2 linked regions of the Arabidopsis thaliana genome follow. The protein of the gene in region 2 interacts with the protein of the main gene of each other region in a biochemical or structural test. Each region holds a gene or a part of one and is shown on either strand. Other genes may lie near its edges. The genes, in order: RCN1 and ATB' BETA.

Region 1 (6,536 bases), on a different chromosome or scaffold from region 2:
CACTCTTTTAGTCACCCAAAAAATTACATGACCAACTTGTTCACTTTGTTTCATTGATCCAATGTGGTGTTCAGGTGGGTTTAGGAATGGTGGTAGTCGAAAGCGCTGTGACATCGATATACATATGTTTTGCTGAAGATCCTTTGTTGATTCAGAGATGGGATGCTGATTTCTACACTGAGATGTCTGAGGTGCTTCACCGTCGTCTCCAACATCGTAGCTCGCGAGCCCGTGAAGTTTTGACGACCGCTTGATTAGCCTATGCCTCCTCTTGGAAAATAGGAGATATAACTGTAGAATATTATGCTATTAGAGGGTGCTAAAAGCGGGCTAACCCTTGTGGCTAAAATTATTTTGTCAAATGATTTATGCTTTCTATTTGTTGAATCATGAATAGGAGGCTGTGGGCGTTTGTATCAAAATCTAATGTATTGATTTTTGTGTTTATTAGAAAAACAAAATCAATTGAATAGAACAAAGTTGATCTAGAGGGGTTGGATAAAGTTTGAAACAAGAACTAGTCAGAAGACCAAACATAGCCACACGCATTTCACTCTATCTCAAATAGTTTCACTAAGGGAGTAGTGTTAGCATTAGTAAACTAAGAAGAATGTATAAGGTTTGGAACAACAGAAAGTGTAAAAAAGGTAATACAATTTTACTAACAAAAATAGTTGCAGTTCATAGCCAGCAACCAAAATGGCGTTTTACACAAACAAACCAAATAAATTGCAGAGAACACGAATAATAGAAACTTAACTTAACGATCATACATATGAAAAAAAAACAATTCAGGATTGTGCTGCTGTGGAACCATCGATGGAATTAAGTGCTTGATTTGCAAAATAACGAACATCAACATCAGGGTCTTCGCTCAGGTCCACCAAACACTGACGGATTGTTTTGTCCACCACCTACAAATTTTTGACACGGCAAAAACATTAAAATTCAACAATTTCCATTAGTTTTCGATATAACTGAGTTATGTTTGTTATGATCGTACTGATTGGTCGACTATGGGGATGAGGGATTGCAGAAGTTTGGCAACGTTGAACTTGATGTTTGGAACTCTGCAGAGATAAGAGGTGTGCAACAACAACACATTAAAAACTAAGAAGTGTTCTTAAACTAGTTTGGCTTATTCATATCCTCTAATCTATCTATTGTACCTGTCTTTTGATGCTTCAACAACCACAGGAAGAAACTTAGAGCATGTGATTTCTGATCCCATTACAGGCGCCATGAGAGATATTGCGCGTAGAACCATCATCCTGTGTAGGTAGTGCGGATTGTTGACCATGTCCAATACCTGTTTATATGATAAAGGTCAATCTGGAGATCTCAATATTTGCAGCTTTAGTGATATCCAAAGAAAAGGGACCAAAGCTGGAGATTAGATGTTATAGGTGAGGTACTTGACATAGATCAACAATAAGATAAACAGACAGATGGTTTTAGTATAAAATGCTCAAAGAATACCTGGGGAACTAAGTGCTGCATTGCCCATTCAGGACCAAACTCCTCTGCGAGGCGCTTTAGGTTGTTTGCTGCAGCTTCGCGGATAGAGTAGACCTGAAGGAGGAGAACAGTGTCAATATCTACAATAACAAGTGAATGAGAAATTTATGCAAACATCAAAGATTCAAGGTAAACCTTGTCTTGCAGCCATTGCATGCAAAGGGCTCCGAGCTTGTCATCGAAAAATCCTATACCTAACTGGCTGGCCAACAGTGGAACATACTCTATTATTGCAAGTCGGACTCTCCAGTGCCGATCCTCAGCAAGTTCTACAATGGCCGGTAACAAGGATTGAGATAGTAGATCAATTCCAATAACCTGCCGTAAAAGATAATTCAGTCACCAACTAAATAAGGAAGCAATAAAAGTAGTATCTAAAGCACACAAGAGAGATGCAACAAACCTGGTTGACTTGATCTAACTTGCTTATGATGTTAAGGCGCACATCAGGAAATTCATCTTTCAAAAGGGAAAGAAAAATTGGTAACAGATGCTCAATGGTTGAGTCCTGTATTGAAAGATTTTAGTATGTTAATAATTTTTTGATAAGGTCTGCAACACCAGTTGGGGCTGGTATAACCACGCCATAACACAAGGTATGGCTGATTTTGTTGATGAAAACCATAAAACAAATTAAATCTCAGAACATTGTCACAAGATGCGAAAATGTTGGCTATCTTCAGTTCATACCTTCCCAAGGATAGGAGCCATCCCCATTATTACTGAAGCTAGAGCAGAGCGGACATGTTGAGAAGAATCCGATGATAATTCCTGCCAGACATCAGTATGTATCAGAATATTACGAGACAGGGGACATCAAACAACTCGTTTATATAGAATTTAAGGAGTCTTACCTTCACACAAGGAAGGATGTGCTGAATCGCAAGCTCTGGATTCAAAAGCCGACAGAACTTGGTCACTTTTCCCGCTGCTGCTATTCGCACTTCAGCCTCATTGTCCCTTAGCAATCTCACATATGCTGGAACCAAATCCGTCCTAGAGATATTATAACATAAATTGTGTCAAAATAAAAAGATACATGTACAAACATAGAACTACCATGGAAGGCTCTTATATGAACGAAAAAGAATAAAGAAAACTTCCAATAGACGCTCTTAGATGCATATTTGTTTGAAGGTCACAAAACTGTTTTACGAGAACGAAAGCCTAGATTAGCAAGGATGACAAAAAAATCAACAATGTCACAAAACACATACCTCGTGCAATCAGGACCCACTGCCTCACAAAGTTCATATAGCTGATTAGCAACCATGTAGCGCACCCTCCAAGATTTATCCTGCTCTCAGAAATCAATACAAACACCATAGAAAAACATCAGAACAGCAAGCTTTTACCGATGAAAATTAAACATGGAACAGCAGACAATTAACTGAAAAATCCATGAATGAAAAAAACAAAGCTCAATTCACCTGAGAGAAATTAACAATAACAGGTAAAATGCGTGCAACACAATCCTGAGGTTCCAACAACTTTCCAAGAGCTGCACACCCTTCAACAGCCAATAGTCTCACAGAATCTTGGTCTGAAATGAAGGTTAAAGTTTAACCAATATAAGCACAGATAAAACAAACATTTCTGAAGAGGTAAGTATCCAATATATTTCATCAAACAGCGTTTATTAATTCAAATGTGATCTCTTTACCATACTCTTGGGTCTATGCAAACTATTTCTAAGTGATGAGCACATATAAAGTACGATATATTCAAACATTAAGTACCATCTTTAGTAAGATCATCGAACATAGTCATGATCTCAGCAATCAAAAAGGTAGACTCGACAGTTGTAGCAAATTTCCCCAGGTTAGATGCAGCAGCTCTTCGCACCATTGGCATATCATCTTTGCACAACTGGCTATAAGTAGCCCGTAACTCAGTCTTCAACACATCAGTGCAACCTTGGTATGCAACATGAAATATACCACATGCAGAAACTCTTGCTGCAAACCATTCACCACCCGCTAACCTCTACAAGACAAACAACAAAACAAAAAAAAAAGCTTTGATTGAACCAACTAACAAAACGGCGTAATCTAGTGCTACATAAATCTCCTAAACTAACCTTCACAAGAGGAACAAAAGATTCAACAAGATCATTCTCTTTCATCTGAGATCCAATCTTACAAAGCGATTCCACAGCTTTTTCTCTCACACAAGTCTCTTCAACAGTACATAGAGATTCCAAAGGAGGAAGAAGAACATGCGCAAACTCAATTCCTCCAACAAACGGAATAAAAACTCCTAACTCCTCAGCCATTGCAAGAAGCACCTCATCGTCATCGTCACTATTCTCACTCAAAAAAGGGATTAACTCCTTCCTTGTACGCTCCTCTCCAAGAGCACGAGCTATAGTAGATAAGCGACGGATCGAGTTCAAACGAAGCTGAATATCATCATTCTTAAGCTCATCTATAAGCACAGCAATGGGATACAACGGTTCATCTACCATAGCCATCTTATGTGAAAGTTCGAATCAAATCACTGCAACACCAAAAATAATTCCTATGAGCTCATTGCTATAAGAGACGAAACAATAGATATTTTCGGATCTCGAATAAAATATTTAGTAATAAATACGAGAAATCATTTACAGATCCTGGGAAAAAACAATTATAGCCACTCGAGTGTTATCTTCGGCTTTATTGATTTTTCTCTACTTGCACAAACAGATTAAGACTATACTGCAGATTTTGAAACGAATCGGGTATGAATAAAACAGAAGAAGCGAGAAATGGGTTCAGATTCACCGGTTCGAAGTTGGATTAAAGGGAATGTGAATCGGAAAATGAAGGTTTAGAGATGAGATCTTATGATTCGTTAAGAAGAAACTGGAAATCAACTTACCGATCCAGGCGTCGGAGAAGAACTGCTTCAGATTCCCAGGAGCGAGAAAAGGTGAGAAAGAGGAATTCGCGAGCGAGAAAAATAATATTCTGCGTTTGATTTTTTTTTACGAAGGATTTATTAAAGGGAAAGATATAAAATGACGAAAGTGTCTAATTGGGCCATTTTGGGCTTTCTTAGGATTGGGTTATGTTGGGCTTTAATCAATTTTTTGCTTTAAAAAATTAAACAGTTGATTCAATTGATACAATGAAAGAAAAACAAAACTTTCCAATTGAGTTTATGACTTTGCCAAAACAAAACAAAAAGGAATTAGGAACTTATTTCAAGACAGCAAACAAACAAAGCAATAATGTATATAATTTTCTATACAAAATCAACTATATCCCTGGAGCTGAAGCAGCTACTGAGTCTGGTCCAGAGTCCAGCTTTTTCTATATCCGTGTCTCGCTAACTTGTTCTTTGAAATCGGCTTTAGTGCTTAGTTCCTCATACGCGTTAACAATATTTTGGAGCCTTGCAACAAACTCGATCAAAAGAGACGCAAATGTAGCTAGCGACAAAGAACTCGCACTTTCATATACTTTGGATTCTATCTCATTGATCATAGAACCGCCTATGAAAGAGACGCTTGGCCAGTTTTCGCGGTTCCTAAGCATCATACTCTCTGTTGATATCCATAGCTGAGAATCATTACCAGCGTGTTGATTCTGATGATGAGGGTTGTTGTTATTGTCCCATATCTGGCTGAGGGATTGAATCACTTTAGACTCGTCGTCTTTGGCTTCGTGATAGTTTTGTTGCGCTTCTTCAGCTTCGGCTTTCTCTTTCATAGCAGCCCAGCTTTCTGAGTTGACAAGTAGGAAGGAGTTACTGTCTATTTTCATCTGTAGTTCCTCTGCTGCTCTTTGAACATCCTTGAGAACGTTCCCTGGGCTTAGCTTCTCCATTTTCTCCACCTTTTCTCCAAACAACCTCAAGACTTTGGCTCCTTCGTTTCCAACTCTTTGAAGTTCTTGACGAAAAGCCTGCCTTTTTTCTGGAGCTGCCTGCAAATCCCACACCAATTGATATCACAAGTCTTATAGGGCATACGACAAGCATTGAACTCAAAGAAAACCATTCACTAGTAACAACAGTAAACTAGGAGATCCCACTTTGCACCTACTCAACAATTATATGACAAATATCCGACTTCTCAGAGTAACAGTCTAGTTAATCACGAAGAGGTACTAGTAGCATTTGAAGCAGGTTGGTATAGTCTCTAATAACCATTATAGCACCTCATTTGCTATGATAGATAAAGTTGTATTTAACAAGAATATGGTAAGTTACCTGAATTTCCGAAAGAATGCAGCCATGCATTGCCATGACCATGAAAGCGCAGTGCCTTACTGCGCCACTAAGTTTGACGTAGTTTGCCCATGGATGGTGGAAAGTCTTATATGGTCCATGTGGAGGCTCCCATACTGCAAAATCAAGCTGAGGAAAAAAGAGGTCATCGTATCTTATCATCTAAATCCTTTTCAAGTTATCTAGTTGCTGCTCAACAAAAGTGTCCTAAGGAAAACACACCAGAGAATCTTCTTGGCTCGTAGATTGGACTACAGACCTGTATCCACTGTATAATGGATCATCCGAAGCTTGGTAAGTGAGAATCTTCGAAGGAATCCTCTCGTATTCAACACATTGCAAGTACCCATTAACACATCCTGAAAGTTTTAGGAAAGCACAAACAAAACAAGACATAAAAAAACAGCCAAAACCCGAAACGAAACAAGAGAAAACAGCCATTTGACGTATCTCTCTACCTTCAAGTGAATTGGCCACACTTTTGAAATTCTTAACAACTAGTTTATGGAGGTCTTCTCCAGCCCAAATGGGAAGTATAAATATGTTCACACCCAAACAGATACCAGCACCAACCAGGATAAGCAAAAACCTATAATAAGCAGTGCTAAAAAAATCTCTAGAGTTGTTTCCAGACACAAGAACAATACAGTATGTCAACAAAAACACCCTGAATGCATATTCATACGACTTCATCGCCGGGTATAGTTTCAAATAACTTGCAGAAAAACCTGATAGACAAACCAACAGATTCACAAGTATCAAAAATAAAGTTAGTATGTTTATTTAAAAAAGGTTCATTTCTA
Region 2 (5,612 bases):
GACATGAATACACACATAGGCATAAAACTAGAGGTTTCTCTTATCCTTCCTAAGTGAACCTAAACTAGATTGAGCAAACCAGTGAGTCAAATGGAAAATGAAGCCCTTAAGGTGGCTTAAAAGGATGAGACGAAGATCAAACTAGAGGAATCTTCTGCAATGAATGTGGGAAATTTTGAGGCTTTTTTGGTCTGACCAGCTAATCAAGCAATACGCAATTGAAGATGAAATTGAAATTGAAATTTGTTAAAAGCAGCAACGAGAAGAAGTAAGGAAAGTACCGATGGCGGTGCGCAAGGCGGCGACATCTCCGGCCTGAGCAGCGGCGGCCAAGTCACGGAGGTGAGAGGGAAGCTCGGAATCGGTGTCGTAGTCAACACCGTTTTCCTCAAAGATAGCGTTTTCTCCGTCAACATCTTCTTCTTCATTCAAACCATTTCCTCCTCTTGGAACAGCCATTGTAGTCTCTCTTTGTCTCGCTCTCTTTTGTTTTTTCTCCACCGCCGTGGAATGATTTTCTTGTAACAAGTAAAACAACTAATCGCCGCCGTGCAATAAGCTACCTCAATAAAATTTAGGTTTTCTCGTGGTGAATTGGCGCAGTTAATTAACTGTATATAACTTGGTATATTCTCTCGGTCTATGTTTTCGGTCCAATGGCTCTGAACCAATTTGGTTAATAATAAAGAAGACGATATTGTGTTTAGTTTACCTTAAGAGTTAAAATGAAAACTCTTCTTATCTTTTGGAAATTGAGGAATCAAATACATTGTCCTGGATCAGTTGGAAGACTAGTTTCCTCCTATATACAAATTCAAAGTTTTGATACAAATAACACAAAAAGTAGGGTAAGAATGGATCAAAACAAGAAAACCAAATTGGATTTTGAGATGGCTAATAACACAAGCTACAAACATCCATCCACAGTATATATAATTAAAATTTTACAAAATTTTAAAGTGCCTTTCCACGAACAAAATTAGACAGAAGATCACAAACACATTTCTTAGTACTAAAGACATATTCTCTGATAGTAATGGCTCACTTCTCTCTCTCTACTTCTCTGAGCAATCAGATTTTGAACCCATGATTCTCAAAACAACAAACAAATCCAAGTTTGATAAGAAAATTAATATAGTAACTCATTTGATAAAATGAGAACAAACAAAAAAAAAAGTGAAAGAATTATACCCTTTTTGATCGATCTAGGAAGTGATCATATGATCTTCTTCTCCTCCTCCTCCATCTCGCTCCGCCGCTGCTTCTGCTAATCTCTTCCATGTATATTGCCGTTGTTCTTCTACTTCTTTGGATTTCGCTTGTTTCTCTTCATACTGTCTCTGACATTCTTCAAACAGTTCAGGATCCATTTCCATGAACATTTTCTTGATATTTGTGGTTAGACCATGAACTGCTTGGTTCCAGTGAGACTGGATGTTCTTCTCCAGTGTGGGATATATGATTGGAAGGATCACGCTTCGGTTTTGCGCGATTAGACCCACAATGTGCTCGTTGTTCCACAAGAACAGTGCTCGTTCTGCAACCTGTATCGGATTTATGAGATATACATATGAGCATAAGGCAAACCCCACATAGAATTCTAGGAAAGTTTGAGCTGTTGCACAAAGACATAACGGGAAACTTGTGTGATTCCTAGAAATCAGTAAGCACAGTAACAATACATTCAGAGAGTTAATTCACTCCATAAATTTTGAAACAACTGAATCATGGAAAATGAAGATGATCTAGGAATCCAAGGATTTAATCAGAGTAGAAGCTATCAAAAGCATGAGATATAACGCATACTTATGAGAGTTAGTACCAACAAGATCATTTTATGAATGAAAATCAACATGTGGCAAAAATGAAGAGAAAGAGGCAAAGCAAAAAGAAAAACAGAACAAAAAAAAACAATTTGCACTAAACTTGATGAAGCACTAGTTCTTTTCAGGGAAGAAATCAGACCAGAGTCAAAAGAGCTAAATAACAAAATCTCCATATTTAAGGTAATATGCATAATAAGCCTTCCATGTGGGGATTAAAAAAAAACACCATTGCAAACACGACGACTAACCTGAAAGTGGGAGCTAGTGAGACAGCGACCAATTTGTTGGAATAATGGAACCATGCAACGCTGGAACTCGACAGGCTGTGTTGCCTCAAGAACTTCTTCAAGTTCTCCAAGGAAGAGATTCTCCTTTGAGCAGTTTGTCACGGGCCAATACTTTAACAATCCCCTGATTACTGTATCCGCAAGCTTATAATCTTTTTCCACAAACTGAACGATGCAATAAGATAACTGCTGATGATATACAACGATTGGTTTTGGCTTATGCAATGGTATCAACACCCTGATTAAGAATAGCTTGTGTTCCTCCTTCATAGGCAATGCAAACCCGTTTATGATACTGCCTAGAATCTCCAAGAGTTCCCCAATCCCACTGTGTCTCTCTGTCTCATAAATAAACCTATAGAATATGTTGTTGATTGCTTTCCTAATAAAGGGTCTGTGGACCATAAACTTCCCATATATCCTATGAAGAATCGTTTTCAAATACTCCCTCTCTCTTGGGTCCTCAGAATCAAACAAATCGAGCAACTTTAACACAAAAGAATGGTCGATATACCGTTTGGCCACCTTTGTATCAGTGTCAGTCGAAACAACATATCTCAGGAGCAACTCGTAAACTAGCTGTAAGTGAGGCCAAGAAGGTTCCAAATAAGGTTCTTCTTCCTCAGGATCTGCAGGCTCTTGACCCGTATTCTCGTGTGATGCTGGTGGGAGAGACCGGAAAATATTAACAGAAATCATCTTAATCATTTCTTCCTGACACGACTCTGAGATCTTACTAGATCCAGACTGTATAAAATCCACCAGCTCCAACAACGTTTGCCTCTTAATCTCCTTGTCTCTAGCATTCTTAATCGTGTCAGTGAAATCGAAAAGGAAACAGCAATTCTGAAGTTTCCTCAAGAACAAAGTTTGCCTCTCTGAAACCGGCACATCTCTAAACAACGGGAGTGGCTCCACCGAGCCCAAAGGCGGAGGAGGTGGAGTTGCAGTCACTGGCGACGGAGAAGAATTAACCAATGCACCACGAGAAGCGTGACTAACGACCACATTGGAGCCAGGACCTGACCTATTATCAGGTAGACCAATCCCATAACTAGACGGTTCATTAGCTTCGGATTTAGAGGGCTTTCGATGCCCACCTTTCATGATTTTCTTAAACATGGCTTACGCAACGAAGAGCAAAGGACCCCAAACTAAACCCTAAGTTTCCGAGCTGAGGAGATTTACACTAGCAGGGGAGCTCAAAATTGAATCAGCATGTAACGGAGAAGGAATCAAAAAGCCTGAGTATTCAGATTCAAATCCTAAGAATTCACAGATAAGCTTTCACTATGCCTCTCTCGGATCAAGCTCCTCATTTTCGTAATCTGGCGGATAAGGATTTGGAGGAAAAAAAAGCGAGAAATGATACCGGAATGTTGTCGGAGATCTGAGCTGGTGAAAATCAGAAGAACGTTGAAGTAATCGAAGAGATCTTCTCGGAGTACACGGTGGTTGATCGGACGGCTAAGATTTTCCGGTGATCAAATCAGGAAGAGAGCGAGAAAGAGAGAGAGAGGAGAGAAATGGGAACAAAGGGACTAAAATCAAAATGGATACGGAGAAAATAAATTACAACTTGAGTGTCCATAGATTTTTATTTATTTAAAATTTGTCCACTTATTTTGTTTGGTACTCTATTTATCCACTAACAAAAATTGAAGGTGGTTAATTATTTTCTCGTTTAACATTAGGTTTAAGTATGGTTTCTCATGAATGTGGTTTCTGATATAAGTACTTTAGGTTAAAGAAGAGTTTGCTGATTACAAAATTGTTTTATCATCTCTAAGTAGAAACAAAAATAAAGCAACTTCCGTGAGTTAGAAGATAGTGGCGAATTCAAGAACTCTGAAATTTGATTTACTCTATTTGGTAAGTAATCCAAGTTTTGAATTATTTAAATACTCTCTAAGTGACTCTATAATAAACTGGTCAAGTGTTTACACTTTACTCACCCCAAATTCCTTGGATTTGTTAATGAGACTAGAGTAGCTAGAAACTTTTTGATTAGTGGGCCAAAAATATTTTATTTTTCTTGTAGCCCACATAACTTCATGATCCATGTCCATGTGAATGTCCAATATAAGAAGACCTTAGTTTACCAATGTTTTTCAACAACATCTAAAATTCACATGCTGACGTGTTTTTTTTTTTCTTTCTTTCAACTAACTTTCTTTTTAAGAATTCACATAACATTTTACTATTACCAATACAATATTAATGCATTTTCTTCATTTTTTAAAATTTTCACTCTTTTTGTAACCAATTAATAGTTTAACAAAAATAAAGAAAGAATGACTTAAATCCCTCACACTGCACTGGTATTTACTAGTGGGAGGAGGGCTGGTCCTAAACTTAGACCAAAGAAAGACCAAATTCCTCTGTTTTCACATAGTACTCTGTTTTTACAACAATTTTGTTTATATCTTAATTCAGTGGGGTTACATTACATTATAAGTACGCAACGGTGTTAGAAAATTTGAACAAACATTTAATGATTCCGTACAGACCGGACCACGAGGTAGTTGACATGTTATACGATAAATACTCTATTCTCTAGATAATGACAATTTCTTCACTTCTTTTATGTGTCGGCACAAATGTAATGGAGTAGGAGACTATGAGTATATACAACAAACCCAACACGAAAAGTAATTCTTCAAATGCGTGAATTTTAGTGAAAACCTAAACAATCAAAGTCCTTTTGTTTTGGTAATTTTACTTGTGCCATACACTTTGATTTGTAGTGAAAACGTAAATAATCAAAGTCCTTCAAGATTCTTAAGTTCTTAACAAGGATAAAAGATTGAACCAGAGGGATCAACCATCTTAATTACAAAGGAAAGAGGTGTGAAGTTACACTTTTTGGACTGCAGAAGCGTGTTCTTGTGAGGCCCCACTATTCTCAGGAGAGCAAAGAAAGAGAACAGCTGATACACAAATGGGGGATTGCATTAAATGTTGTAATCAAGAAATCTCTTAGAAATTTCCTAACTATGAATGGTGAGTGTATAAAACCAAACTCTCTAACCCAAAAGAATGCAACAACTCCACCAAAGAAGAAGAAGAAGAAGAAGAAGCAAAGAACACTAATCAGAGCTTTACTTCTACTGTTGACGTTTTGAGAATGTGCAAAAAGTTTAAGATTTTCATGAGAAAGCTACAAATTTGCTGCTTATTCACTAGATTCTCTAAAAGGGTAGGGAATTATTGTGAGTTTGAGGAAGAGGGTAATGCTGCATCAATGATTCCAAGTGATGTGAAGGAAGGGCATGTAGCAGTGATTGCGGTTAAGGGAGAGAGAATTAAGAGGTTTGTTTTAGAGCTTGAAGAGTTGAACAAACCAGAGTTCTTGAGGCTGCTCGAACAAGCGAGAGAGGAATTCGGGTTTCAACCAAGAGGACCTCTGACCATCCCATGCCAGCCGGAAGAAGTACAGAAGATTCTACAAGGAAGTAGAGAGTCTTGAATTTTGATTTGTAGAGCAACATTGTTAGTT

What was found.
Region 1: the proteins of ATB' BETA (region 2) and RCN1 form a complex in vitro, tested with the Arabidopsis thaliana proteins (one study listed by BioGRID).

The regions. Positions count from the first base shown.
Region 1 is NC_003070.9:8,949,155-8,955,690, reverse strand, and holds RCN1 (ARM repeat superfamily protein), read right to left. Parts: upstream 4,530-6,536; 5' UTR 4,381-4,529; intron 4,018-4,380; 5' UTR 3,992-4,017; coding exon 3,599-3,991; intron 3,505-3,598; coding exon 3,258-3,504; intron 3,062-3,257; coding exon 2,949-3,061; intron 2,816-2,948; coding exon 2,736-2,815; intron 2,515-2,735; coding exon 2,373-2,514; intron 2,290-2,372; coding exon 2,209-2,289; intron 2,027-2,208; coding exon 1,922-2,026; intron 1,837-1,921; coding exon 1,654-1,836; intron 1,573-1,653; coding exon 1,480-1,572; intron 1,310-1,479; coding exon 1,170-1,309; intron 1,071-1,169; coding exon 1,004-1,070; intron 915-1,003; coding exon 792-914; 3' UTR 531-791; downstream 1-530. Other genes in the region: AT1G25500 (Plasma-membrane choline transporter family protein), read left to right, coding at 75-254; AT1G25480 (aluminum activated malate transporter family protein), read right to left, coding at 4,815-5,429, 5,716-5,862, 5,956-6,092, 6,192-6,461. UniProt on the Arabidopsis thaliana protein: The A subunit of protein phosphatase 2A serves as a scaffolding molecule to coordinate the assembly of the catalytic subunit and a variable regulatory B subunit. Seems to act as a positive regulator of PP2A catalytic activity.
Region 2 is NC_003074.8:3,027,525-3,033,136, reverse strand, and holds ATB' BETA (Protein phosphatase 2A regulatory B subunit family protein), read right to left. Parts: upstream 3,667-5,612; 5' UTR 3,236-3,666; coding exon 2,075-3,235; intron 1,545-2,074; coding exon 1,206-1,544; 3' UTR 738-1,205; downstream 1-737. Other genes in the region: AT3G09890 (Ankyrin repeat family protein), read right to left, coding at 282-459; AT3G09870 (SAUR-like auxin-responsive protein family), read left to right, coding at 5,241-5,582.